4 linked regions of the Notamacropus eugenii genome follow. The protein of the gene in region 1 interacts with the protein of each later gene in a biochemical or structural test. Links are inferred from orthologs where the notes say so. Each region holds a gene or a part of one and is shown on either strand. Other genes may lie near its edges.

Evidence for each region.
Region 2: the proteins of PRKN (region 1) and UBE2J1 form a complex in vitro, tested with the Homo sapiens proteins (4 studies listed by BioGRID). The link is inferred for Notamacropus eugenii from reciprocal best matches to the Homo sapiens genes PRKN and UBE2J1.
Region 3: the proteins of PRKN (region 1) and UBE2V1 form a complex in vitro, tested with the Homo sapiens proteins (4 studies listed by BioGRID). The link is inferred for Notamacropus eugenii from reciprocal best matches to the Homo sapiens genes PRKN and UBE2V1.
Region 4: of the proteins of PRKN (region 1) and MFN2, one has a biochemical effect on the other in vitro, tested with the Homo sapiens proteins (2 studies listed by BioGRID). The link is inferred for Notamacropus eugenii from reciprocal best matches to the Homo sapiens genes PRKN and MFN2.

Annotation. Positions count from the first base shown.
Region 1 is NC_092873.1:256,731,379-256,738,483, forward strand, and holds the start of PRKN (E3 ubiquitin-protein ligase parkin), read right to left. Parts: upstream 3,014-7,105; 5' UTR 2,877-3,013; coding exon 2,870-2,876; intron 1-2,869. Other genes in the region: PACRG (parkin coregulated gene protein), read left to right, coding at 3,544-3,699. UniProt on the Homo sapiens protein: Functions within a multiprotein E3 ubiquitin ligase complex, catalyzing the covalent attachment of ubiquitin moieties onto substrate proteins. Substrates include SYT11 and VDAC1.
Region 2 is NC_092873.1:163,063,558-163,071,009, reverse strand, and holds the start of UBE2J1 (ubiquitin-conjugating enzyme E2 J1), read left to right. Parts: upstream 1-4,437; 5' UTR 4,438-4,992; coding exon 4,993-5,023; intron 5,024-7,452. UniProt on the Homo sapiens protein: Catalyzes the covalent attachment of ubiquitin to other proteins. Functions in the selective degradation of misfolded membrane proteins from the endoplasmic reticulum (ERAD) and is essential for cells to recover from ER stress.
Region 3 is NC_092872.1:516,863,120-516,870,054, forward strand, and holds the start of UBE2V1 (ubiquitin-conjugating enzyme E2 variant 1), read left to right. Parts: upstream 1-3,920; 5' UTR 3,921-4,397; coding exon 4,398-4,662; intron 4,663-6,935. UniProt on the Homo sapiens protein: Has no ubiquitin ligase activity on its own. The UBE2V1-UBE2N heterodimer catalyzes the synthesis of non-canonical poly-ubiquitin chains that are linked through Lys-63.
Region 4 is NC_092876.1:51,427,420-51,434,457, reverse strand, and holds the start of MFN2 (mitofusin-2), read right to left. Parts: upstream 3,016-7,038; 5' UTR 2,791-3,015; intron 2,071-2,790; 5' UTR 1,944-2,070; intron 1,465-1,943; exon of another isoform or gene 1,371-1,464; intron 1-1,370. UniProt on the Homo sapiens protein: Mitochondrial outer membrane GTPase that mediates mitochondrial clustering and fusion. Mitochondria are highly dynamic organelles, and their morphology is determined by the equilibrium between mitochondrial fusion and fission events.

The sequences.
Region 1 (7,105 bases):
CTTCTGATGCCCTCTTGGCTTTTTTACATATGGCATTTAAAGTAATTCACAGTAAGTCTGCAAAGTGCTTTTCCCACAAAAACCCTGTGACAGATAGTACAAGTAACATGGCCATTTTAGAGAGGACTTTTAATTCAGAAAAAATTAAATTGTTTGTCCACAGTTATATAACTAGAAACTGTAGAGTTTAAAATTTCAACTCAGGTCTCATGACTCCTAGCACTTTCTGTAACAACATGTTCCCTCTTTCCCCATGTTTAATCATTTGTTTGCCATTGTTATGTTAAAAAAGAAACTTTTAAAGAACTATTCTGAGGCATCTGCAAGCAATCATTCATGAGGGTCACAACATCATGCAATCAAAGCATCAGCTATATATATATGGTATTCATTTCTTGTTTCCCTAAGTCACCAGAACACTATGGGACGTGTTTTGTCCAACTACTGTGGTTTTTTTAATTACATAATCACTTTTCAGTTGATAATCTAGGGTTAAATGAATTCCTTAGACTGAAGCCAATTGTAATAATTTTAGATATTTATATATGTATACTTATAAATATATAATTATTTAAAATATACACACATGGCTATTTTCAAACTTGTTGATTTTCCTTACTTTCCAACACTTCAGGGGCTTGAAATTTTGTTGATGTGGTCCTTCTTCCATTGATACTTATTGCAACCCCTCTATGAGTCATATTTTAATCTTGACTGCATAGGACAACAGATGAAAAACTACAGGGCACCTCAAAGATACTCCAGTTCAACTTCTCTAATTTTACATAAGAGAAAACTGAGGCCCAGATGACTTAAATGACTTACCCAAGCTGTAAGAAGCAGAGCTATGACTCCAACTCAGGTTCTCTGACTTCAAATCCAACACTTTTTCCCACTTAGCCATGACTTAGTCTTAGCCTCTATAGCCAAATAAATATGATCACTCTATAGCCAACTCTCTGATATACTTAGGATGATCCCCAGAATACAAATAAAAAGCCCTTCATTGGGCCATATTCAGAATCCTTTTGGCTTGTTAAAATTTACCAGGTTATATGCTCTACCGGTCATGAGTCCATCATCATATTCACTGAAACATAAAATAGTGGAGTACAGTGGAAAGGTTGCTAATTAAAAGGCACAAAAAAATATGGCAATTCATAATTCAGAAAATATCCAAAGTACATTAGACCAAGTACTCCAAACTTTCCTAATCAGCGCACCGGTATTTCTTTCCCCCCTCCTGACCTATTCCCAATGTGAATTTTATTGTAAATATTTATTCTTTGGACTTTGTTTTTTACCTTTGTCAAGGTTTACATGTTGCCTGAGTAGTCTGCATAAAACATTAACTTAATCTGGTTTGTGACAATTACCTGCTAGACTTGGAATTAAGAGAACTGGTTTGTAATCCCAGTTTTACCACTAGCTTCAAGACAATGGGAGTTACTTTAACTTTCTGGTTCTCCATAAAACAGAAACATTCATGTCAACACTATCTAGCTCCCAGGGTAGTAGTAGGGAAAGTGTTTTGTAAACTCTAAGGAGTCATATATAAATGTGTGCTATTAATAATATTTTTCAAACATTAATTTCCATGAATCATTGACTGGAAAGCAGTACCAAGATAGAAGGGGTAAGGAAAGGACTATGATTCCAAAACTCAACATAGCTTATTTCTACATAGTCCCAAAGGAATATGATACTCAGGTATTTATTTCTTCAGTGACAGGAAGAATATTCTTTTACATTGTATCATTAATTTTATAATAAAATTAAAATGTTTAAGAAGGGACAGCTTCTCTAAAAATAAACAAGCACCACACATAAACACAGTAATATGTTTTCTGAACATTTATGGATGGAACTGGCTCCGAATATTCACTTGCAACAATTAAAGATACTGTATCAGTAATTCTCAATGTGCCAACAATAATGCAGAAACCAATTCCATAAAACCCCAAACACTGGTTGTGAGAAGTCATTGATAGTCCCGTAAAGATGGTCCTAAGCATATTTTTTTCCATTAATTTTTAGGGGCAAATTTATAGGGGTAAAAAAACCAAACAAACACAAACTTGCTCACTATTTTGCCTAACAATACTAAGAATACCTCTAACTTAAAAAAAAATTAAAAGCTGTTTTCCATCTATCACCGATCTCAATTTGTCCTAGACTTCAAAACACCCCCTCAAATAGGGCATTAAGAAAAGCTAGTCAAAGACTTCGAGAAGTTTAAAGACCACGTGGGAACAACCTTTCTCCGCAAGGCTGACGTCACTGCAAGCCTATCACTTTCGTGTCCTGCTTCTTGGGGGTCTCCCTGGGATGGTCAAAGGTTGCTTGCAGACAGATTAGGGCAAGGAAGGTGGGGGAGGACAGGTGGTGATGGGGAGGAAACATGAGCATGAGAAAACCAGGGGCGCCTTTGACCTTCGAAAACCTCCACAGCTTCTGAAGGTCGGCAGGGTTTGCGGGGGTCGGGGTCAATTTCCAGCGGGCACTTTCAGGGTGACGTTCTTTGGCTGGCCTCCTTTTCAGGGGAAGGGAGCAGTGGTCTCATACAACCCGCGGGGGAAAGGAAAGGTGGGCTCAGCACCTGCGTATCGGCTGGGGGTCGGGGGAAGGGGGCACTTCAGCCTTCAGTTGGGGGCAAAACCAGGGGAGCCAAAGGCCAGAATCGCCTGTTCTGGCCTCTACTGGGAGGGGCAGGGCTCTGGGACACTCAGAGCACCCCTCACCTCGCTAGGTGACCCAGACCGTCCTTGACAGTGACCAGCAGGGTCTCACACCTGCGTCAAGAACCAGCACATGGTGGGGGAGGGAAGAGGCGGCGGAAAGCAGCTGTACCTGGAGAACACCCACGTACCTATCATGGTCACTGGGCAGGTGGTGGCTCTAAGGACAGACGAAGGAGGCTTAACATGCGCGCAGCGGCCTGCCCCGAGGGCCCGCGCTCGCCTCCTACAACCAGCGTTCACAGCTTTAAAGCCTTCAGCTCCCCGCTCCCTTTGTCCCCGCCCCCTCCCCGACCCTTCCCTACCCCGCCCCCTGAAGATGCGGGGGCGGGGGGGGGGGTGAAGAGGAGGTAATGCGCACGCGCATGTATACGCACACGTCCCTGAGGGCTTCTGGGAGATGTAGTGCGGAACCTGCCGCTCATTTTCTAATCCGCCCCGCCCCCGCCCTTTTGCCGGCTCTTGGCCTGGAATGGCTACGTCATTGGGAGACTTCCGCTGCGATGTTGATACGTTGCCTAGCAACCTCGCTGAGGACCTTTGGAAGCCTGTTGCAGCTGCAGAATACGGTCCTGCCCCCCTTTCTGCCCCTCCCCTTCCCCAAACTCCCTCTTCACCTTGGAGCTGCCAAACAGCTGGAACTAGAAGCAAACCCGGGCAGGACCTGGAGGGTTGAATTCATTACCATTACAGTGCCGTTTTTACTCTCCATAACCCCACTCCGGCTGTGTCTTTCCCTCCCTCCCCTCCACCGCCCAGTCATTCTTAAAGCCCTGGATGTGGGAACAAGACATTTCCTAGGAAGATGGTGGCAGAAAAAGAGACCCTGAATCTAAATAAAAGTCCAGAGAAGATGATGAAGAGGACCAAACTCCAGCCTCCACAGCCACTCCCCGTGCACCAGCCGCACACCCTGGTTTCTGACGGCTTCACTGTCAAAGCCATGATGAAAAATTCAGTCGTAAGTGATAAATCTCCTCGATTCCATGCGCTCTCTCCGAATCAGGCAGGGTACACGGAGATACAGGTGCACGGTCGCTATCCGGAAAGGGTTGGGGCAAGTGAAACGCGGTGCCCGTCATCCTGCGGTGATTGAATAATAATAAAAAAAATAACGTTTTGATTGATAAGCACCTTCCCAAGATCTCACCTGATAGTCTTCAGGCCTCCCACCCTGCTCCAGCTGCTGCTGGTCTGAGGAGGATTTCCTTCCCCTGCCCCCACCCCAGATTCAAGACCTTTCACTTCATGAATTCCGAGTTTTACATGAATCTCTTGTAAAACTGTCAAGCCGACATAAATTCACTCAACTATCAGACAAAATAATATTAAAAGCAGAAAATTTTAAGCTGTCCAAACCCCCATTAAATATGGATGTATTACTGAAGTACAAAATATTTCAACTGTTCTTCCTAATACAAACTTTAAAAGCCTGGCCCCCTCCAAAGATGCCCAAAAACTGACCTTTCAATTAGATTTTAATCAAATTTATGTCTGCCTATTGGTATAATCAAAATATTATTTTGATAGTATTTTTAATACTATGTTTGTGCTCTTTAGAAATAAAATAATCTTAAGAGCAAAAAAGAGGGAAAATAGTCGGAGTATACAGTAAAACAAAGTGTATGGATGACTTCTTTACATAAGCTTAATTAATAAATTATGCCTCTCTTTGATAAATGATTTTGAATTAAGTATAACAAACTAAATTTACCACATAATTGGGAATAGAACTTCAAGTAACTAAAACAGCTTTCAAAGTTGTATAACTTACACTGGTAGAATCTGAGTAGTTATACTGGAATTTATCTTTTCTCTAATGTTACATTAAACCCATATACTTATTTGTATCTATGTGTTACTCATACAGTAAGTTTATGAAATGACTACCTTTTGGACAAGACTATTATGATGTTATACATAGTGTCTCATTTAGAATGTGTGTGTGTGTGTGTGTGTCTATGTCTGTGTTTCTTGAGGTTTGGGAAAACAATACATTTCTGTTTACAAAAACCTCATTCTTTTCATTATAAAGTAGAAGTTATACTTAAAGTCAAAAGATTCTCACGTATCACCAACATACAGTACCAAATTTATTCCACTTAGGAAGATGATTTATTTTTCTTTTATCTAATATTCATAATTCCTTGTTCATAACCTATTTTACTAGTTTACTGGAATTTTATAAGACTGTATAAAACATTTTCTGTTTTCTCTTTAATGACATTAGTTCATGCTCATTACAAAGTCATAATTCATAATACAAATCTGTATCTTCCAACATACTTAGACCTTTTGTTATTTAGCATAACCTCTCCTAAAGAGTGTATGGCCTAGTAAAGTCACATATTTCAGTACTTTTATTTTTCACAAATGTAACTCCATCTTCAAATAACAATTCCTTTGAGGAAGATTTCTTATAAATACCTTTTCTTGTGAGGCGTAAGCATCTTCCTTTATTTATTGCTTTAATATATCTCCAAAGTGATTCTGAAAACATGGGTCATTTCTTGTTATTCCTTTTGGTGGAAAGTAACATTTTCTGTGAATAACAAAATACAGAAAGTTTATTTGAAAGTAATAGAAAAGATAGGTAAATAAAAGGGAGGTAAATAATATGTGTGAGCAACTTGTAGTAGCAGCCTGCACCCTACTAAGTGTGATTGGACCAACAGGACTTTCTTCATTTCTCTGGCACTTACACCTGACCATTTCTTTTTTCAGCAATATAGACCTTCCCATGATTATGAAGTTATTAACTCCAAAGAGTGTCTTTTCTAAGGTTTATCTTCAGTCAATGAATGGGATACAGCTTGTATCAGTTTTCAGTGACATAATAATCTAAAACTCTGGGCAACTTCTCTTCTTCAACTCACCCCCAGTTCTTGTGTCCGATTTTTCAGTCTTTAAATAAGTCACAATTACAACGCTCCATATTAAAAACATATGGCAATTTATCCTAAAGAGTTACCATGGGAACTCCTGATGCTCCTTTTAGAATGTTTTGGTCATATAGATATAAATCTGATCATAATCACAGAATCAAACAGATGGACTGTATAAGGAGAAATACTTTATATGTAATCATATTCAATAATAATAAGATAATGTAAAGTTTTTGTAAAATAAAACCATATAATTTATCTTTTTACATTCAAAATCTATATGTATATAGTCAAGCATTCTATGTACCAATATACCATACATATAAATATACCATAAATATAAATTATGTGAATAGTAAATCCATATTATTCTTGTAATTTCTTAGCTTTCATGGAACTTTTTAGTTGTTCCTGAATAGCAAATGACTTCCAAGAAACTCTTTATTGTACTTTGAGTAAGATGATATGCCTTTATTCCATTATTTTGTAATATTTGCCTGAAAGTAGAGATGGGAGGAAAAATGACATGTAAATAAAATGGATGATTTCATATTTTTTCTTCTTTCCACCTAAGCCTCTACACAATACTTTGGCATAGGTATAGATATCTGGAATAGGAGTTAGTTTCAGGCAGATACTGCATGATACTGCAAGGAGATATGCATAATATCCAATTCTTGTCTTATAGTAAGTCTCCATTTCCTTTCTAGCTGAATGAACATGGTGTCAGATCAACATTCAGGGAGAGCAAGGAGAAAGAAAAATAACTTCCCAGCTTCTCTTTTACATACAGGAAATAGCTTAACTCTTGACATGTCTGTGATCCTTCCCTAATTTCTTCATTTCCCTGGGATCTTAAGATAGTGATTGGTGGGAATACAGGGCATTATTTGTTAACTCCACTCACATACCTCTGTTGGGAGATCTTTGAGAATTGTAATTAGTTGAAGCAGGGAAAAAAATAAGAAAAAGTCTTACTCTCATTTGACTTTTTAAATTTACTTGCCCTCATATAGTTACTAACCTGTTCTCATGACCTTGATTGAACTCTGCAAAAATGTTTCTTCTTTGACTATTGTATAACCGTAAATATATAGGCATATAGGTAGAAAATCAAAATTCTGATGATATCGAATCTGTTTTTATCAAAATTATTCTCCATGTTTATATAAACTAGTCTCAGAAAGATTTTATAGAGATTCAAAGGCAAGTGTATGGGTCAGTGGTTGTTGATGTCTGTTCTATCACATGTTTCTGCTAGAAAAAAAAAAAGCTCCTTTTTGGCAAATCTCCCAATCTGATGCTTGAGGGAATTTAAAAATTGTGGTGTTTTCATTATATATTTTCAGTTAGGTTCAATCACTAATTCCACCTTCATATTTATCAATGCCAATATTATTTCTTGTATGGAATATCAGTGAATACTGAGGTAAAAGTCCAAACTTTGTGGTTCCACTATCATTATCAGTGAAAATAAAGCCA
Region 2 (7,452 bases), about 94 Mb from region 1:
CATGTCCTCTGGTTTCATTTTAGAAACACATGGTCAAATTTCCAGTAAATAATTTTATTATCTTTGAATAGTTCTTAAATTGTTATATGACTCATTTTTAACTCTTTATGTTACTTCTCCCCAATATTATTTCAAGTTTGATGGCAGGAACTAAATTTATACTTTAAAAAACATCTTCCACAACTGGTACAATTCTTTGCACAAAGTAGGCATTCAATAGATATATAGGGAAAAATGTTATAGAATGTCTATACCTGACAGTTCTCCCCCATGCCCAGCCCTAGTTGTTTCCACGTAGACTGCTGATTGAAGCTATAAGAAGAAAAAATGTCAGACCAACTCCTATGAGATCCTTGTTTGATACAAACCTTTAAAATGTTTGAGAAAGTGTGGTATTTCTGGATAACATTTGAAATGGGAGGCCTGATGTTATAATTTTTTGTATCTTTTTTAAGAGTCAGAATGGATCATTTTATAGATGAAGAAACTAAGGTCTAGAGATGAAGGGAAATCTTATTTAAGATCACACAGTTTATTTAGTGGTAGATTTGAGACTAAAAACTCATGTCTTAGGATCATAGATTTAAAGTTAGAGATGATCTTTGAAGTCACTGAGTTCAGATCCTTCACTAATAGATGAGGAACTTCAGACACAGCAACTTGTTGATGGTCATACAACTAGTGTCAAAGCAGAATCTGAATCCCAGTTCTCCCTGACTCCAGATCCAGTGCTTTATCCACTAGGCTAGGCTGATCCATCAGATTTTAGTTATTCAATAGTTGTTCTCAGATTTATTTCCCATAGTGAACTGTAATGGTAATTTAAATGGGAAGATCTTTCCCATTCATTAATAAGTCCACGTAACCTGCTTAAATCACATGGAAGCCTAAGTCACATGTGGTGGGAGGTGCTTGCAGAATGGGTGGAACAGAAGTGGGAGGAAGTTGGTGAGAGTGGTTGGGGCAGAGGAGAGCAGATGCAGGCAGGCAGGCATAGCTAGGTTTGTGAGTGTTTGCTTGTAAGAAGGCCAGGAAGAGAATGGGGAAGGCTTGGGAATGGCTTTATCCCCTGCTGTGCTAATATGTATTGACTTCTTGGTTACTATGATGGATTTGGCTTTCTGGTGTCTGAATAAATGTTTTTCTTCTGCCTTCTATATTAAACTTTGTGATTCAGAACTAAGTTGGCATTTTTGTAGTGGCCCTCGATGCTGTGAATATTGCCTGGGTGATACAAGAACATAGTGAAATGTTACTTGTGTAATGGCTTTAGGGCCAAACCTTCATTGTGCTCACATCTGTAGGGTTTCTATAGTAAAAGGCAGTGCAACTTAATGCCACCCGAGTATCTATTTCCCCCTCTAAATGTAGAGAACATCACCCAACCTATGTGCTGGGGGCAAGAGGAAAGGGAGAAGGGTGGTGGCTATAGACTGAGGACGAGATTATAGTCATATTCCTCTTAGGTGATGGGGAAGAAAACAGTGGATTTCTCAACAGCACACTAATGGGAAGATGAGGTCTTCTTCAGTATGAGCCTATGCTTTAGACTAGTGAATCACAGGATGGGAAAGTACCTCTGAGGCCAACTAAAGTCTAGCTTCTACCCAAAAAAGAATCTACCTAGAACAATCCCAGATAAGTGATCATTGAGCCCCTAATTGAAGGAAGTTAGTGGAAGAAACTCACAGCCTTTGGATGCAGTTCATACCACTTTTGGTTAACTATAATTGTTAGTCTTTCCTCTAACATCCTCTAAAATTGCCTTTAGTTTTCCTGGCTTCTTTCAAGATTCAGCTCAAATCAGAACTACTGAAATAGCATAGCGAGCAGAACCAAAACAGAACCTGGAATCCAGAAGAGCAGAGTTCAAATTTGGCTCCAGATACTTCTTAGCTGTGTGATCCTGGGAAGTCATTAACCTTTGCCTCAGTTTCCTCATATATAAAATGGGGATAATAATAGCACTTACTTCCCAGGATTGGTGTAAGGATCAAATAAGATTTTTGTAAAGTGCTTTGTAAACCTTAAATCACTATATAGATCCTAGCTATTAAATCCTACACTTATGCAGGGAGTTTTTCTGGATTCCTCAGTTACATACCTAGTTATTTCTATGGTGTCACCTCTTCCGCCATTAGAATGTATACTTCTTGAGGGTAGGAACTTTCTTTTTGCACAGTGCCTGTAAGTACCTTTTTTTTTTTTTTTAAGACTATGTCTTTCTACATGGTGCAGTCTAGAAGCTTAGAGTTCACTCATAAGCCCAATTACATTACTTATTGGCATGAAAGCTTTGACCAGCTCCATTTTTGACCTGAACTGGTTCTCCCCTCCTTACGCAGCCTCCCCTTTCCCCTGTACCTCACTGGTGCTAGATTCAAACTACCTAGCCCTACTGAGGCTCAGAACTCTGGAGTTCAAGTGATCTTTCAGCCTTAATTTGCCAAGATTGAAGCATGTGCTAGGAGGCCAGGCACATAAGTGTTTAATAAATATTGTTGATTGCTTAGCCTGTAGTCACACTGGTGGTTAAGCGTCAAAGGTGGGATGTGTACCCAGGCCCACTGACTCTACCGCTAGTGCTCTTTCCACTACAGCACATAGCAGCTATGGGGCAGCTAGGTGGCTAAGTGGATTGAGTACTGGACCTGGAGTAAGAAGGACCTCAGTTCAAATTCAGCTTCAGATACTTTGCTGTGTGACTGAGCAAATCATGTAACCCTGTTTGCCTCAATTTCCTCATCTGTAAAATCAGCTGGAGAAGGAAATGACAAACCACTCCAGTATCTTTGCCAAGAAAACCCCAAATGGGGTCATGAAGAGTTGGACATGACTGAACAATGCAACAGCTAAAGTTGAACACTGTTGCTCTGTAAGAAATGAAAGTGAGGAATTCAGAGAAATACGGGAAGCCTTGCATGAACTGTAATGCAGTGATGTACGTAGACGCATAAAAACAACATACATAACTATGACAACATAAAAATTAAGAATAGCAAATGAAACCAAATTTTATGTAGTTACAATGATTAGATAACAACAGAAAAAATATATCTCCCTTCTTTCATTGAAAGAATCATATTGTACATGATCATATTAGACATTTTCCATGTGTATTGGATGGTTTTATTAAATTTTTTAAAAAAATTTCCTCACAAGGGAAGACTTGCTAGGATTGGGTGGGGATGCAGAGAGAGAAGGTATTTTTGTAAAAGATTACTTTGTAAAAGTTATCACTAAATCTATAAAATTATATATATATATAATGTTACATTATATGTATAAATATATAAACATTATATTAACATATATAAATTATATATATATATGAAACAATAAGAGCTAACATTTATATAGTGCTTACTATGTGCCAGGCACTATGTTAAACACTTTGCAAATATTATCTCATTTGATCTTTACAACAACCCTGAGAGATAGGTGCCATTATTATACCCATTTTGTTGTTGTTGGTCTGACTCTGTGACTCCATTTAGGGTTTTCTTGGCAAAAAGACTGGAGTGGTTTGTCATTTTCTTCACCAGCCCATTTTACAGATGAGGAAACTGAGGCAAACAGGTTTAAGTGACTTTCTCAGGGTCACACAGCTAGTAAATGTCTGAGGCTGGATTTGAAGTCATTAAGAGGAATCTTCCTGACTCTAGGGCCAGCACTCTTCTCATCTAGCTGCCTCTACTTTACCCCCCAACCTCCAGAAGCCATTTAAATCTTTTTGACTGATAGCTTTTGTTACTGTCACCTACATTCTTCACATATCCCCCTCCCAGAGGGCTATCCTTCACGGTAAATTCTATAAAACTAACCAACGCACCCAAAGTCCCATGTTCTATGCAATTGGACGCAGTCACAGTCTCCCACTTAGCACAGTGCCTGGTACATGGTATAAATGTCTGTTGATTTCCGCCTCCCTTCTTTGGGGTCAAGCTTGGTCCTACTTCTCAGCATTCAGTTTCCATCCATTTTTCTTTGTGCTATTTACATAGCTGTTGCTACTTAATCTCTGGTCAGTTTCCTCATCTATGAAACAAAAAGTGTCAGCTTCCATGAAGGGTTCGTAAAATCTGGTTTCAAGGGCCAAAAAAATAAATTCATCTTCATTTCAATAACCTGTTTTCCGCTGTAATTCCATATGCCTTATTTTATATTATATAAAACCATTATTTGGAGAATGGGTCTATAGGCTTCATTCACCACAGGGCCAAAGAAAGAAGGTTTGGCGAACGCGCCTCCCTTTAGTTACTATGTTACCTCGGGCGTGTCACTTTCCCTCCTCTGGACCTCAGTTTCCTCCCTCGCACAGTGAGGGGCGGGGTGGGTGGGTTAGACTCTACCGAGGACGGATCTCGGACTAGCCCGACCGAGTCTCCCTGGCCTGCAGCGAGCGCGGGAGGCGGCCCGGAAGCGTGACCACGTCGGGCCCACGGCCCGCCACGAAGTGACTGCCACGTCAGGATAACTTCACAAACCGAGCGCGGGGCAGGGAGCGCGACACCCGGCCCCGCATTGGGGGCGACGGGGGCGGGCGGGCACGGCGGCGGGACAACGGAAGCTCAGGCCGCGGCCCCACCCCCGGCTCTCCAAGCCTGCGACGGCCCGCAAGGGCCGGGCCTCCAGGCGGGGGCCGGGCGGGGCGGAGACGCAGGGCGGGACACTAGCCGGGCGGGCCCGGCGCAGGCAGCGAGGCGGATCCCCAGGAGGCGGAGCGGAAGGAGGCGGTGGCGGCGCGCGGAAGGAGGCGTTGGCGCGGCGGGCGGAGCGCAGGCAGGGAGGCGGAGCCACAGTCCCCGCCGCCGTCGCCGCCGCCAACGCTGCGTATCCCTGGCGCTCGCTGGGGCCGCCGGGGGCGGGGACTGGGGGACGCGGCTTCCCCGGCTCAGGAAATCCCCGGGGCCGGAGCCGGGGCCAGCAGCCCGTCGCGGAGCCGGGGAGCAGGAGGCGGTGGCGGGGCCGGAGCGGGACGGCAAAGCCACCATGGAGACCCGCTACAACCTCAAGAGCCCAGGTAGGGAAGGAAGCAGCCGCTCCCCTCCATCTCCCAGCACGCATGCGCGGGCGGACGGACGGACAGACGGACTGGCAGCCGGGGAGGCCTTGGGCCGCCGCCCCGCCACCTGTCACCGCCCGAGGGCCCCCTTCCTTACTCTAGTCGGATGTCCGGCCTGTCCTGGGCATGACCCCTCGGAGTCACCCGGGACCCGGGGAGCCGTCCGCTCGTCCACTGGCCGGCCCAGCCCGAGCTTATGGAGAGAGGGCCCTGCCTCCACCTCCCGACCTCGGCCTCACCCCACTTGGCCTTCTCCATTTCTTTTTCCTCTCCTCCTCATCCTTTTTAAAGGGGCGGCACCCTAGAGGCCGCAGGACACTGTGGGACCCCCCCGCAGGGCGCCCGCGCCGCCTCCTCGGGCTGCTGCCCTCGGACTGGACACTTCCCGGGCAACTTGGCCGCCCCGCCTTCTTGGCCGTGGTCGGGGGTGCTGGTCCGTGTGCGCGCTGGACGAGGCGTCTGCGGGGAAGTGCGGGAGAGACGGGAGAGGGGTCTGTGGCAGGTCTGGACCTGGACCCGCTCCCCAAGGAGAGCGCCTTGGTGAGGAGGAAGTCGGAGGACCCCTTGTGCCCTTGTGCAGCTCCCTTACTCTGCCCGGACCTCAGTGCCCTCCGCTGTAAAATAGTGGCGTTTCAGCAGGAGAACCCCAAAGGTCGCCTCCATCCCCCAAAGCTGTGATCCCCTGAAGATGTGGAGCTTGGAGCACCTACTGCCTGGGTGACCTTGGGGAGCTCACCTATCCTTTCTGGGTTTTAGTTTCCTCGTCTGTAAAACGAGGGAGTTGACCTAGATCTAGGATTCTTAAGCCGGAGTCGGATAGATTTTTTGTTTTGAAGTGGGGCTGGGTCTTAGGAACTTGGATGGGGAAACACATTGTCTATATTTTCACAAACTTTTGACTGAAATACAGTATTTCCTTCAATTATTTAAAAGGAGTCCATGACACAGAAAAGATTAAAAACTCCTGTTTTTAGAGTCATTTTCAGCTCTTAAATATTCCTTTGGTCTTACGTTGTTAGAGTCCACCACGGTTTTTCAACTTGAAAGCTTTTACTCATAGCATTTTCTAATAGATTATCTTTAGGTATTTGCCTTCCAACCCTGTCTGTGAAGTGAGTAGTGTGACTATATACATATATATAAGCTGGATGAATCCTAAGGTCCTATTAAACCCTGAAACCTTATAGGTCATCTATTTCATGCTACTTCATATGTTTGTTGTTGTGTTTGTACTTCATATATGTACATATTTTACATATGTGTATGTAGCTGTATTTATCTACCTGTCTACCTACCTACCCTTGGGATAAAGGATAATTGGGTTCCTGTCCTGTATTGAACACATCCTGGCTGTGGGATTCTCTAGGAGTGACCTAATCTCAAATACTGATACTGTAAGTTGCAGATCAGGTGTCTGCAGTTTTAGAGGGAATTTCCTCATCTGCAGTTGGAAACCATAGCTCCAGACTGTCCTGACCCTCAAACATATCAATCCATATCCAGTGTTTGAGAATGAGGGGGAAGTGGAAAAAGTCCACTGATAAGAATCAGTGAACAGGCACTTAAGTGCCCACTATGCCAGGCACTGTTCAAAGCCAAGATAAACAATGGAGTTTACATGTTAGCACTGTAGCTCACATGATAGTGATTATTATTCATGTACAGTGCTTTGAGGTTTTCAAAATGTTTTATACACATTATCTCGTTTAATCATCATGTTTACTCTGTTAGGTAAGTGCAACAATTATTCCATTTTTATAGATGAGGATACTGAGGTTCAGAGAGGTTAAGGTGATTTGCCCAGGGTCAAAGGTATTGTGTCTCAGAGTCAAGAGTTAAGTCTCAGAGTCTTCCTGACTCTAAGGCAGGTTCTCTTATAATATCTCTCAGTATAAATTTACCTTTTTAACAGATGAGGAAGGAGAGACCCAGAAAAATGAAATCTCTTATGGTCATATAGCTCTTAGGCCCTGACTTGAAACAGGAACCCAAAATTCTAAACTGCCAAGTCCAGAATTATTTCCACTGCAGAGTGCCTCCTGTGTAACTACATACATACCTATGTAGGCTCCCTTCATCAGGGGAGAAGGAATTCAAAGCAGTAAGTAACCCTGATGCCACTACTCCAGTCCCTTCTACAAATCCTTGGGCATATATACAGTAGAACATAGATGAATGCCTGTGAAAGAGCTGCGCCTTCATAAGTGTCTGTTGATTGATCACCAGGTACTGCCATTGCACTGGCAAAATTTGTGAAATGGTAAAAAAAAACAATGCAGTTTAAGTTTAATCTTTAGGAAATATTAATGGTTTATTCAGCTGTTGTTCATTCCCCTCTCCACCCCTTTTTCCAGTTGGTTTTTAGGAAACCAACGATCTTTATTTCA
Region 3 (6,935 bases), on another chromosome or scaffold:
CTCCACAATCTACCTTTCTAACCTTATCTCCCACTGCTTCTCTTTATGAACTTTCTGTTCTATTTAAACTGTATTTATTCTTCCCCAAATATTTTCTGAGCTTTCCTACTCTCATGGCTTTGGGCAGACCATTTTTCTCACTCTTTCTATGGAAATCATATCCGCCTTCAAGGCCCAGCTCAAACTCCCAAATTTTCTGGAAAGCCTCCCCTAACGCACTCGGCCAAAAGTGATCATGAACTCCTGTAACTCTTAGCAAACAGTAAACAAACATTTATTAAGTGGCTACTGTAGTAAGGTGCTGGATGAATAAAAAGAGTCCTGACCTCCAGGAGCTTATATTTTGTGAGGAGACAATCTAGTTACGTGTGGTATGTAAGATGAATATCAGAGTTAGAGGATCCATGATGAAGCATATCATCTACTTTCTGACCAAAGTGATGGACCCAGAGTTTGGATTGAGACATATTTTTTGAATATGCTGAGGTGGTTATTTGTTTTGACTATGAATGTTTATAACAAGTGCTTCTCCATGAACACAAACCCCATCCACACCTCCCCCAGCCCCTACAACGCACCCCAAGGGGAGAAGTCAATGGGAGGGGGAAAAAGGCTTTTCATAGAAAAAAAAATTTTTTTAAGCAAATTTAAGAGATAAATGCAAAGGGTGGGGCATTAACAACTGGGGAATCAAGAAAGCCCTTTTGAAGGATGTGCATGATTGAGCTGAGTCCTGTTGGAAGCTGAAAGTTCCAAGAAGGAAGAGCATTCCAGTCCTGGGAGGAGGCATGAATACAATTTGTGATGGCATGTTAAACTCTGTGACTACAACATTCACACTGACATCTCAAAGAGCACCTGACTATTCTACCGGATAGAAATCCCTGTTTATGTTTGGATACAAGATCAAAATGATGTTCCCTTACATTTCCCTAAGCTATCCCACTATGCTTCTAGCAGCTGCCTGGAGCTAGGATTCCCTCCTTTACCTTACAGTACAGCTGAGCACAGTTAAATAAGTCTGCTAACTTCTCCATGCACCTTGGGCATCCCTTATCCAAATCATTGCCCCTCCTTCTACTGGCCCACTCTCAGAATTCTTGGAGACTCACATATGATTTTAGCCTGATTATATCCCTTATCATTGACTGATCCCTAGCGAAGTCCTCATTTAGTCCTCATGTTAGAAGTCTCTAACATGCTGTGGAAAGAGTATTAGATCTGGAATGCAAGGACCTGGGTTTTATATCTCCATCTGCTTCTTACTATTTTACTAAATTTAGTAAATATTTCTTAAGTATGCTGTGGATAAATGAAGCTCCTGATCTCAGGGGAGAGTTTCAATCAATACATATTTATTAAGCACCTACCATGTGCTACAGCACCTTGGAAACCTCATCATTGGGAAATATCATCCTGCAAGACTGAATGAGCCTTGGTACCCACATTTCATTAGTATCCTCTATTTGTTTCATTGGAGCCATTGGCTTGAAGGCAGAGCCATAAGCTCCAAAACTTCCATTTAAAAAGGGGGCCCAGAACAATCATCTCATCATTTCCCACTGACTGCACTGATTTAGACTTTTTCCTCATGCCCACAGCTGGGCACCTTCTCCCACCCTCTTGACTTTTCAACTTCCTTTTTTGGGGGCTGTCTTTTCCCATTAGATTATAAACTTCTTTCGGGCAGGGAGTCTTTTTTTTTTAATTTGTATTTATAATCCCGAGTGCTTAGCACAGTGCCTGGCACATGGTAGGTGCTTAATCTTTATTAACTGATGACCATGATAAATGCTGGCACTACAAATACAAAAAGTGAGATTAGCCATGCTATCAAGGAATTATTAGAGGATCCATGCTCACAGATGAGTAAATACAGGACATGCCATAAAGTAATTTGGTAGGGAATGCTTAACAGTGAGGGAATGAGGAAACATCTCATGAAGGATAAATTGCACAGATTATGAAAAGAGTAAGGGCTTCCAAGGGGCAGAGGTGAGGAAGGTGAGCATTCCAGGCATGAATACAGCCTATGAAAGGCATGGAGGTGACTGAGCAGTGTGGCTGAAATGTAGATTGAATGAAAGGAATCAATTTGTAATCAACCTAAAAAGATGGTCTGGAGATAGACTGTGTAGGGCTTTAAATGCCAAACAGAGGAGTCTGTATTTTATCCTAGAAGGAATGAGTCACAAAAATTCCTTAAACAGGTAAGTAACATAGTTGGTCCTGAACTTTAGGAAGATCACTTTGGTAGCTTTGTGGAAGGGAGATTGGCACAGGAAAAGGATAGACGTAGGGAGACTGAATAAGGGCCTATTAAAACAGTTCAGATGATGAAGAGTACCTGTACTAGAATAATTGTGATGAGCGGTGATTGTGAGAGAGATGCTGAGGAAGTAGAATTGAATAAATATTTATTGAGTTCCTTTAAGTCATTTTTGGTCATGTCCAACTCTTCATGACTCCATTTGGGGTTTTCTTAGCAAGATACTGAGTGATTTATCATTTCCTTCTCTAGCTCATTTTACAGATCAGGAAACTGAGGTAAATAGGTTTGTGACTTGCCCAGGGTCACAGCTAGTAAGTATCTGAGGTCAGATTTAAACCAAGGTTTTCCTGACTCCAGGCCAGCGGTCTCTCCACAGGGTCACCTAACACTTGAATGGGCATATGAATAGAAAAAGCAACAGCCCTTGTTCTCAAGGAACCTACACACTAATTGGAGAAATCAACACATAAAAGAATGTTCAGTTGCAGGACAGATGGAAGAGTTTAGAAGTCCTAAAGGTGGAGTGTCAGAACATTTGGCAAGGCCCAGAGGTCCTTAAGATACATAAGTAGGTCCTACAATAATAGCATGAGGCTCTCCGGCATGTAGAAGCAGGCCAGAGTGGTCAGGAATAAAGGTCCTATGAGGAATGGATGCAGCTGTTCCAACATTCCATATTCTACATACTCAAGTTTGGTTTTGTTGGGTGTCTTCAGTGAGCCGGGTACCTTGCCACCTGCTAGTAGGGCCCAGCGTGAACTTCATTATTCCAGAGTCTGGTTTTGGACTCCTCTGATGGGGGACCTGGATCAAACATTGCACCTTTGTGTTTAAAAGTGGATGGCAAAACAGGCAGTCATGATTTTCTGCAGGAAGTGGTGAAAACATCCATAACTAACTCTAACAGTCTTTCTCCATATCTATACATATAAACATACACATATATACATGTACTTGTATACACACACATACACATTTATATGCATAAAATGTGTGTATACGCGTGTGTGAAATAGAATTTCAGCCTCAGGGATCAAAAGGAAGCATGTGGCTTTCCCCCTTACTGGAAACCTAGAAGGGCACTGATTCCATGAACTTAGGAATACCTACCCCCACGTTATTTGTTCGATCCCGCTGAGTTGGGTCTTATCAAGGTAGGATTTCAAGCTGGAAAGGGTGTTAGAGATAATTTAGTTCAACCCATCATTTTGTCCACAGTCCCTAGTGGTGATACCCACTCCATGAAGTTTTTCCAGAAAAATCTAAAGTAGAGCTAAATGATCCATTCACATCTCTCTCCCCACAGGCTGGCTCCTTGCAGTCCTTTTTTAAAACTTAAATTTTATCCTTAAATGTATTTGTGACAACAGAAGCCAGTTTTACTCTTCTAGGCCCTGCCTCGACTTCTCTCCGCTCTCCTTTTCCTTTCCTCTCTTCCTTCTGATTAAATTGTCCATAATGTAGAACTAAAGTACCTTTCTCAAACACTGTATTTATTGGGTAAAAATTCTGTGCTTCCTTTTTTCGTTTTAAAAAAAAAAATCGGATGATTTCAGCTGGAATCGGAGAACGCGGATTTGGAAAGAAGCTTGGAGAACTAGCCCAGCCCCACCCACTCAGGCTCCTGGAGGGGCAGCGGGGGAAGGCCAGCCGTGTGTGCGGGGCGGGAGGTCCGCAGCTCTGGGTCCTACCACGCACCATGCAGCCCCCGCCTCTCGGGCTGGCCGCCCGGCCTCGGTCCCCTCGCCTGTAAGGCGAAGAGCGCGGCCGAGGCCTCCCGGAGGTTCCCACGTGCTCCAACTTCTCGTCCATTTCTGGGTCCCTCGGAGCGCCCAGGACGTGGATCGGGGAAGCCCGGGTGCTAGTCGACGCTCCACCTGCGGCTGACGTGCTCAACAAGTCCATTAGCCTCACTTGGCGAAGGGGGATCACAGGGAGGACCCCAAGACATCCTGAATGCAGGACGCTCCTGGAGGAGCCCTCCCCGGGTGTCAGCCGAGCACCCACGTGGCCGCTTTGGCAGAGCCTCCTGCTCCCAGCACAGCTGCACCCGACCAAGCCTGTTTGTCCTCGGTCGTTACTACCGACACCTCAAGAACTCACTTCCCAGAACCGGCGCTCGGGCATGCATTTCCGCTCCACTTTGAATTCTGAGGTTGCCGCGCCCTCCCGGGCGCTTCTCTCTTTTTTGGTCTCTCCGCGGCCTGGCGGAGGCCTGCGTCGGTCCGCCGCGCTGGCGTCAGAAGTGACGTCATGGCGCGGCGAGGCCGCGGGGCGGAGAAGGGAACCCCTCTCGGGGAGGGGGGCGAGGGAAGAGGGAGGGGCGGACGGAGAAGAAGGGGCGGACTCCGAGCGGCAGCGACGCAAGATGGCGGCGACCACGGGCTCGGGTGAGCGGGGGCGCCGGGGCCCGGGCCAGCAGCGGGGGATGCGGCGCTGGGCCCGCACGGGCTCTGTGCCGCGGGGAACCCGGCGGGCTCCGCGAGCCGCGGCTCGGGGGAGGCCGGGGCTGGGCTCCGGGGGCCGAGCGGCAGCGGGGCCGCAGGCTGAGGCGGCGCCCGGGCGCCGGGGCCTCGGCTTTGGTTCGCGGGGCCTCTCAGCCCGGGGGGATCCGGGGGGCTGCTCGCGCTCCGGGCGGGCTGTGCCGGCGGCTGCCCCGGGCCCCGGGCGCGGTGGGTGTGTCGGCCCCAGCTGTGGCAGCCGCACCGGAGGCGGGGGCCGGAAGCGAGGGGCTGGGGCGCGGAGAGGCCGCGGGCACCGGAGAGGGGGTGGGGTGGGAGGATGGAAGAGCGCCCCGGGGGGAGGGGCTGCCAGGGGCTGGGGTCGGTGTGTTGGGGGGAGAGGAAGGGAGGGGGTCGGAGACCTTGCAGGGGTCGGTGTGTTGGGGGTACGGTATTGGAGGCTATGGGTTTGAGGGAAGGCACGGTGCACAGGTCTGTGTTGGGGGGGTACCGTGCAGGGTTCTTTCGGGTTGGGGAGGCGACTTTTAATGGTCTTTGTGTCTGGGGGGCAACCCTGTAGAAATCTGTTGGGGGGGACACTTGCAGAGATCTGGGGGGAGGGACCGTGAAGGGGGGGTCTGTGTTTAGAGGGGAACTTTGCAGAGCGGGGTGCGTGTGTGTTGGGGAGGCATGCGGAGGTCTCTGGTGTTGGGGGAGGAGGAACGGTGCATGGGGTTTGTGTGTTGGGGCACAGAGGAATCTTGGAGGGGGTGTGTTGACAGGGGGAAGAACCATGGAAGGATTTGTTGGGGTGGAAAGAGTGATAAAAAAGTAGTCTAGGGGAGAATTTGGTTTCTGAGAAATGGGGTGGGAGCAGGTCAACCCTTACACTAGGGGCCTTCTGGGATGTTAGGATCAGATTTGGAAGAGACAGGGTGGCTGGAAATTGCTGAGGAAGGAAAGAATCTAATTCAGAAGACTTAAGCACTGACCAGTGCCTTTGTATCTGATGGTACCAAAATTGAAAGCTCCTCGAGAGACTTAACTTTGGGGTGGGGGGCAAAGGATACATATATGTAAAAACAAAGTCATTTGAGGAGGAAAAGATATTGATTCCAGAGGTAATCAGGAAAGACCTCTACAGGTAACACCTGACTTGAACCTTGAAGAAAAATAGGGATTCCAGGAGGTGAGATGAAAGGTGGAAGTGAGGAAGCAAGAGAGGTTAGTGTTCTGGTTTCTGTATAATTGTTACTGTCATTTCCTTTCCAAGCATGATTTGTGCCCCTAAAGCATGTTTCTGTGATCATCCATCCCCATAAACAGCGAGGAATTGATCATGGATCCTATTTCCATTTTATAGTTTACAAAGCACTTTCCTCTCAAAGCCCTGGAGGGTAAGTGATAACAGCTGAGATGTGTAAAGTACTTTGCTTTAATCGTTTGATTAAACATTTGATTTTCACAACTTCCAGATAAGGTAGTTAGAGCAGATATCATCCTCATCTTAGAAATGAGAAAAATGAACCTTAGAATTGTCATGAGTCTTGCCTGGGAGTCATCCTCAGTAAACTTGGCATCTGAATCTTACTCCTCCTCCTCCTCTAATGACTGTCCACATCAGACAGCCAGAGCTGCAGTTGATTGATTTGATATTCAGTGCAATAGAATTTGACTTCTGAAAGTCGGAAAGGGTCATCTTAGAAATAGACTGGAGAAGATCTTGTGCTGGTTGCAACTTTAATAATGATGTATTAATGTACAAAGCTCCTGCAACAGGCACTCCTAGAAGAGAAAGGCTGAGTCAGGCCAAACTGCTGTGGGAAACTTCAAACTTGAATAACATCTCTGTCAGGTTGCCCTGAGTTGTAGTGTGTTATTGTGAACCCAGTAGCTATTGGTGTCATGGTGTTACAGCTTTGCCCTGTTGATAATTTCTTACAATTTTGTCTTCATGGACTTGTTTTTAACAGCCACCTTATTTTAACTTTTTGAGGTGCTGTTAATCGAAGGTCCTTTAACAAATGATGATACATTAAGATGAAACCCTTTGTGGCTGATGATGTAGATGTCTTAGAGAATAGTGAGCAAACCCTTCTCAGGGCATCTTTGCCTTTCTGTAACTTGAAAGCTGTTAAAAACTGATTTTGATTCATTGTATTCATACTAGCATAAATATTTTGTTTTAACAATGGATAGCAGTTCAGGCATTGTGTGGTTTG
Region 4 (7,038 bases), on another chromosome or scaffold:
ATTTACCACCCAAATTCCAGAGTATTAAAACCTATTTCCCTCCCCATCTCCATCAACCCAATACTTGGCCTTGAGACAAATCCCTAAAGTCAGAGAGGCTTGTAATAAAACAACTTTCCCTATAGGATCTAAATACTTACTTGCCCAGAGGACAAACTACTTCCTGGAAGTGGGTTACCTGAAAACTAGTCAGCATTTATAATGAGGTACATTTTGGTGACTGTGAGACTTAAGGGCTTGAAACCAGAAGTTTTAGTATATGGCAAGTGAAAAGCAAAAGGCAGATGAGTTATCCAAGGAAATGAAATGAAAGCAGCTCAATGAAAATGGAAAATTCTTAGATGTAAAGAGAATGAGAAAAAACGTACAACTCCTAAGAGTTTTCACTCCTGGGCAGTGAATGTCCTCCAGGTGCTCCTAACTGTTGCTCTCAATTGATCTTGTTAACACCTGGGATAGGAAGTGTCTCCCGCTCCCTTGGCTATCCTAGCCAACCCAATCAAGTCTTGGTCTGGCACAAATTTATTTAATCAGGAGAAATGTTGACTTCCTCAACTCCCCAATTTCCATGAAATCTAACTGGCTCCATTTCACCTGACATTTGGGACTCAGGATCTCAAGCATGAATTTATTCCAAAAAAGGAAGCCAAGAATGTGGCAGAACAAACAAAAGGACACAAACCTTCCCTTCCCTAGCTCTGGAACTCCCCACCCTGACTTCCTCCAACACCACCCTTTCAGCTCTTGAGGAAGGTCCTAGGAACGACCTACTTCCACCAAGGCTTTAGGCAAGTGGGGCCCTTCCCTAGGGCATAAAGCAGATAACAGTCATATAACTTCAGGAGGGAGAGAAAGTCTGGGTGCCATAGATAATATGCTGGGTTTGGAGTCTGAAAGATCTAAATTCAAGTTGTGCCACTACAACTTAACTGGGTGGCCCTGGGCAGATCATTTAATGTCTATGTGCATCAGGCCACTCTCTAGAGAATATCTACTAAGTCATGGATGGGTCAGATCTGTTCATAATGCTAGGGAATCACTATTGCCACGTTTACTACAGACCAAGGGCTGTCACACCGCTTAGATGATAAAATTATGCTGAAGTCTGAAACCCTACCTGATTCAAGGCCATTTCAACTTCACTTTAAAGAGGGCTTCATTGGAACAGTTAAGGTCTGTCTAAGTACAGCCCAGAAACAAACCCAAATCTACATCTCAATTGCCACGAGCATGATCTACCCCCAGGCAGATCTGAGTTTAAGTGAGGTCAGTTAGGTATCTTGGGGGATGTAGAAAGGAGAATGAAGCAAAAATCTCTCATGTGGCTTTGGGTATGAAATGCAAGGCCTGAATTCACACCATTTTCTTACCCAATTTTATGCAGAGCAACTTCTAGCAGGAAAAGAGAAAAAAAGGATCCACAGGACCGTCCACACCAATGTAATTGAGACAGAGAAGGAGAAGCTGAGAAATTAAAACGGAAAAAAAATGAAAAGAATGGAGATGAAGGAGAGGTTTTCCAGCCAAAGTCAGGAAATGAACACTATGGAGAAGATGAAGAGTCCCAGCACCGGAGAGAAGGGAGAGACCAGGAAAGAGACCTCTGCCAAAGAGGGCGTATTTTAGATTTACATGCTTGCTTTCCTTATTTCACAACACACTAGATCAGTTCTGTTTGGTTGGAGTGAAATAACATTTCGGTGGAAGCCCCAAATACCGGAAGTAGACACAAGATCTGACCCAACTTGGTTTTCTCTCCCAAAGACAGAATGGGTTCTGGTGCAAAATCTCCCTGTGCCAAGAGTCAATTCAAGGGGTCCCTCACTGGATCTCTGATATTCTCCTAATCTTGTTTACCTCCGGGACAGGGTCGCCCCTGCAGCCACCGCTGGCTGTTCCCCTACAGTTTAAGGCACTACAGGCCCAGAGAAACCAAGACTTACTTTTCCAGAGGTGGATGGTTTTCACAAGGCTGACATCATGAACTCTGCTGGCCTGGAAAAGAAGGGAAGGATCCAGGCATTTCTCACCCTCCCGGGCTGCAGTGCTCAATCCGCCCAGTCCCCAGACCTGGAAGAAGCAAAGGCGGAGAGGTCACCCCGAGGCTGGGGCGGGGGCCAGGCTCCTCTAATCTCCTCTGGCAGGGTTAGGACGCCAGACAAAAACCACCCCGGGCTCGGATGGCTCAGAAAGGCCTCTGGCAAGGACACGTGCCAGCAAGCTGGGGTGGAGAGCAAGGGCAGGGACTGACTGGAGGAGCTCACTAACCCTGGGGCATCACAACACACCTGGGCATGGAGGTGGGCACATGGGCATGCCATGTGCCCAAGGAAGAACACAGGAGGGAGGACCTGGCACAGAGGAGGAGCACGGGTATGGGGGAAAGGGGGCTTGGCATGGGGTTGGGGAAGAGAGGGAGACTGATATGGAGAAGAGGGGGGACGCTTAGCATGTAGGGAAAGGGAGCTGGCATGGGGCAGGGGGAAGAAGCTTGCACGGACGAGAGGGACCTTGTCATGGAGGGGAGGGGGGCCTGGCACGAAGGAAGGGCACTGATACGAAGGGAAAAGGGCCTGGGGGGGAGCCTGGCATGGGGTGGGGGGGACCTGGCATGGGGGCGGAGGCGGTCGGAGAGTGGGGAGGGTCCAGGACTAGAGAGGGGGCGCGGGCCTGGCCGGGGGAGGGCCGTGAGGCTGGGGCATGCGGGCGGGGGTCGGGGGCTCAGCCCCGGCTCTCCGCCGGCCCCCGCGGCCTTCCCCCAGCAGCGCCGCCGCCGCCCCGCTCACTCACCTTCACCTTCTTCGGGCTGCCGCCGCCGCCATGACGCGCCGTGACATCATCAGGCCGCGTCAGGCCGTGGAGGGGAGGGGCGCGTCGTCCGCTCCCCGCCCCCACCACACATACACCCCGACTTCCCGCTCCCTGACCGGAAGATCTTCACGGACTCCGAAGGGGTCCAGAGCGACCCCGGCGCGTGCGGGGCTCGGCCTCTAGTCCAGGCTCTGCGGCTCCGCTGGGCACGTCGGTATCATGGCCCGCCGTGCACTCTGGGAGTCGTAGTTCTGAATAGGAGTAGGCAGTCCCTCCTCGAGGGGCGGGGCCCCGGCTTGCTCTGGGATTGTCAAGGGCGAGGCAGCGCTGGAAAGAAACCCTTCTGAGCCTGACCAGGACTGGCTTCCAGGCCCCACCCGCCCTGGAAAGGGAAGCCTTGGAGCAAATCAGCACGCGTTTGGTAAGTTTATGCAAATATGCACAGTTGTGATGGGGATGGAACCTGAACCCCTAAAAGGATGCGGACCCCAAAAAGGAAAAGCACCTGAATTTTCCCCTACATTCCAGCAGCCCAGATCCCTGGTGCCTCCGGCCGCCTCCGCCCACCCCAGCCCACCTTGACGATTTAGCTAGCTTCCTTGACACTCCTTAATCCCAGGGGGTCTCCCTTTCTCTGTTACCTCCAGACCACCTCAGGCTGCTTGCCACTCCTAGATCCGATCCAGGTCTTCCAACAGTCTTTCTATATCAAATATATCCATCTTATTCTCATCAAATGTGCAGATTCTTAAAATCTGGACTGCTTGTACTGATATCACAAATACCCCAGGCTCACCAGGAGCCTGGCCAGCCTCTATTTGGTGTTACAATAAACTCGCTGCTTGGACTGAAATTCTTGAGTGGTCGAATTCTTTGGAGGCAGACCCCTGCCCTGGACCCTTGGATTTTGGGGTTCTCAGCACCCCCACATCCCTATCCAGACTACAGCAGTTGGAAGACCCAAGTTCAAGTCCTAACTGTATCTGACTACCGGCCTGAGTGACTTTGACCACTGAACCTTAGATGCACCAGCTGCAAAATGGAGATAATATTTGTACCAAGTGCCTATTAGTTGATATTTGCTACAAATATTGTTATATATGAATTATATATATAATATGAATAATTATACATATTAATTATATTACATTAATGTACAAATATGTTTATATAAATAAATTTATATATATTTTTACACAAAATATATTTAATCATGTATTTATATGTAATATATGAATAAAATATATAAAAAGTCTATGTATTACATATACTATGTAGTATCATTTATAATATATACTATGCGATAGTATATATTACAGAGTTCAGTCACTTCAGTCATGTCCAAATTTTTGGGACCCCATTTGAGGTTTTCTTGGCAAAGATACTGGAGTGATTTGCCATTTCCATCTCCAGCTCATTTCACAGATAAGGAAACTAAGGCAAACAGGGCAAAGTAACTCGCCCAGGGTCACACAGCTAATATGTGTCTGAGGCAGGACTTGATCTCAGAAGCTAAGTCTTCCTGACTCCAGGTTTGATGCACTATGGACAAAGCTACCTAGCACAAAGCTCTCTACAGACCTTAGGGCACTCTAGAAGTGTTGTTTATTTTTTATTGTCAAGTTTTTGGGTTTTTTATTACAGTCTTTTTATTAAGCCTTCTCATTTTTATTATAGCCTTCACATGGTGGAAAGCACCCGGGTTTAGAGCCAGAAGACCAGGATGGGAAATCTGGTTCTGCTACTCACTAGCTGTGTGACCTGGGAAAAGAAAATCTGTCTTCCTGAGCCTCAGTTTTCCCATCTGTAAAAAGTCTCCCTTCAAGTTCTAAGCCCTGTGATTCCATTGGAAAAAAAAAACATGAGTTGGTGATACTTTTGAAAGAGGTGGTGGACTACAGTTGTGGAATGAGGCATACATTTTCAGACACAGCCAATGCATTGATTTTGTTTTGTTTGACTTCCTTGTTATGAGGGAGGTTTCTAGGTTGGAAGGGTGAGTCACTGGAAAATACAATTTAAAGAGTATCAACAAACCTTTTAAAAATGAAGATGAGTTGGCTACTGCAGCTTGCTGGAAATATCTCATTCCCTTTGTTCTATAATCTTACGCTTACTGAGCAACTTTCTGACCTCTGATCTGGTCTCCTGCCTTCTGCAGTTATCTTACTAGACATAGCTTCCACTATAAATTCATAACCTGGCACTCTAGGTTACAAATCAGGACCTTGTGAGTTTGCTCAGTATGAATCAGCTCCCCTGAGCCCGATCCACCCCTGAGTAGAATAAAAAAAAAACCAGACTCTGCAGAGGTGAACCCATGGTCTCAGGTGACCTAGCTGACCACCTGGTCTACTCCCAAACTCTCTCTCATTTCAAAAGGGACTCAAAAGACCATCTGACTCAGGCTTTATCTAGGGTTTAGGTAGATCAAAGATTACTGTCCCCATTTTCCAGAAGAAATTATTAAATACCAAATACCAAAGAGGTTGAGTCATTTCCCAGCTAAATATGGATAGAGGTTATAGACAGACAAGAGACCTGCTATTGCTCCTCAAGAATTTCCTGTTCACCTGTTGTTTACTACCAGCAGATGCCTGGGAGCAGGAAGGACACCAGTTCCAATCATCCCTCTCTCCCTTCCCTTAAGAAGATGGTGAGAGGCCTGGGGAGGAGGGTGATTTATATTTCTACATATAAATAACTATGAGCAGTGACTTTAAGTATTTGGAGGACCATCATGAGGAAATGGGATTAGCTTTGTTTTGCTTGGGCCCAGATGCCAGAAGCAGGAACAATGAGCGGAAGAGAGACGGATTTTGGTTTGATGTTGGGAAAAATGTCCTAATAATCCAAGCTATTCAGAAGTGATGTAGACTGCCTCAGAAGGTCCTCAGTGGAGGACTGGAAGGATGACTGCTTGTCAGGATGTGGAGAAGGAATTCTTGGTCAGGGACAGGTTGAACTCTGTGGCCCCTGAGGTTCCTTCCTTCTTTGAGATCTTGGATTCCCTCCACGGCATCCAGCACAGGGCTAGGCACCTAGTCACACAGCACAGAGTATATCTAGAGCCAAAAAGAGACCTCAGGAACCATTTGGTCGAATTCCCTCATTTTACAAGTGAGGAAACTAAGTTCCAGGGAAGATAAGTGAAATAGCATCATAGGGGCTAAAGCTGGAAGGGACCTTAGAGTGCAGGGTCTGGAATCAGGAAGATCCTAGTTCAAATCCAGTCTCTGACACTTAGCTGTGTCACCTTGGGCAAGTAACTTTACCTCTGCTTGCCTCATTTTTCTCAACTTTAAAATGGGGATAACACTAGCACCTACCTTCAATGATTGTTGTGAGGATCCCATGAAAGAATATTCATATAGTGCTTCACGTAGTGCCTGGCACAAAATAGACACCATATAAATGCTATTATTATTATATTTTACAGATGAGGAAACTGAGATCCAGGGCACTGACATGATTTGCAGCACCATAGAAAAAAACCTTGGAAGGACCTTAGGACCACCTAGGCCACCCCTCCTCCACTTTACAGATGAGGAAACTAGTAGAGTTTCCTCTACTAATAGAGGAACTAGTAGAGAACTAGTAGTACTAGTAGAGAAACTCAGTAGTAGCTGAATTTAATTATTCAGTCAGCACAATAACATCCTGTCTCTAACATCAGTGCCAAGGATTGTTTTGAGAATGGCTGTGTTCCCTGAGGTCAGCCTTGTGGGATTAAAGACTTCCTCTGAATGTCCCTAACTCCCCAGCATAGCAACCCCTGCATTTTTAACTGTCTAGCTAAAGCCCTTTAAAAGGAATGCACTCAACACACACACATACATACATACTCTCAGAAGATCTCATTATTGGTTTTGTTAAATTTTAATGTCAAACACTCTTATTTCAAACTGTCCATGTTGGCCAAAGAGCCAGTCAGTGAATGAATGAATGAAAATGTAGCTCTGTGTGTGTGTGTGTGTGGTTGTGTGTGTGTGTGTGTGTGTGTGTCTGTGTGTGTGTGTGTGTGTGTGTGTGTGTGTAAATACCAGCCCTGGTCCCCCATTCTTCAGAGGCTGACCAGCCAATGCAGGGACTGATCTGAAACATAAATAGATTCCTTGTCTGCCTCCTTGATCCTGACAAGGGCTGATGTGACGGTGAACACCTGGGCCCATCCTTGGGCAATAGGACAAAAGATGGATTTGATGCTACACATCAGATTTGGTCTGT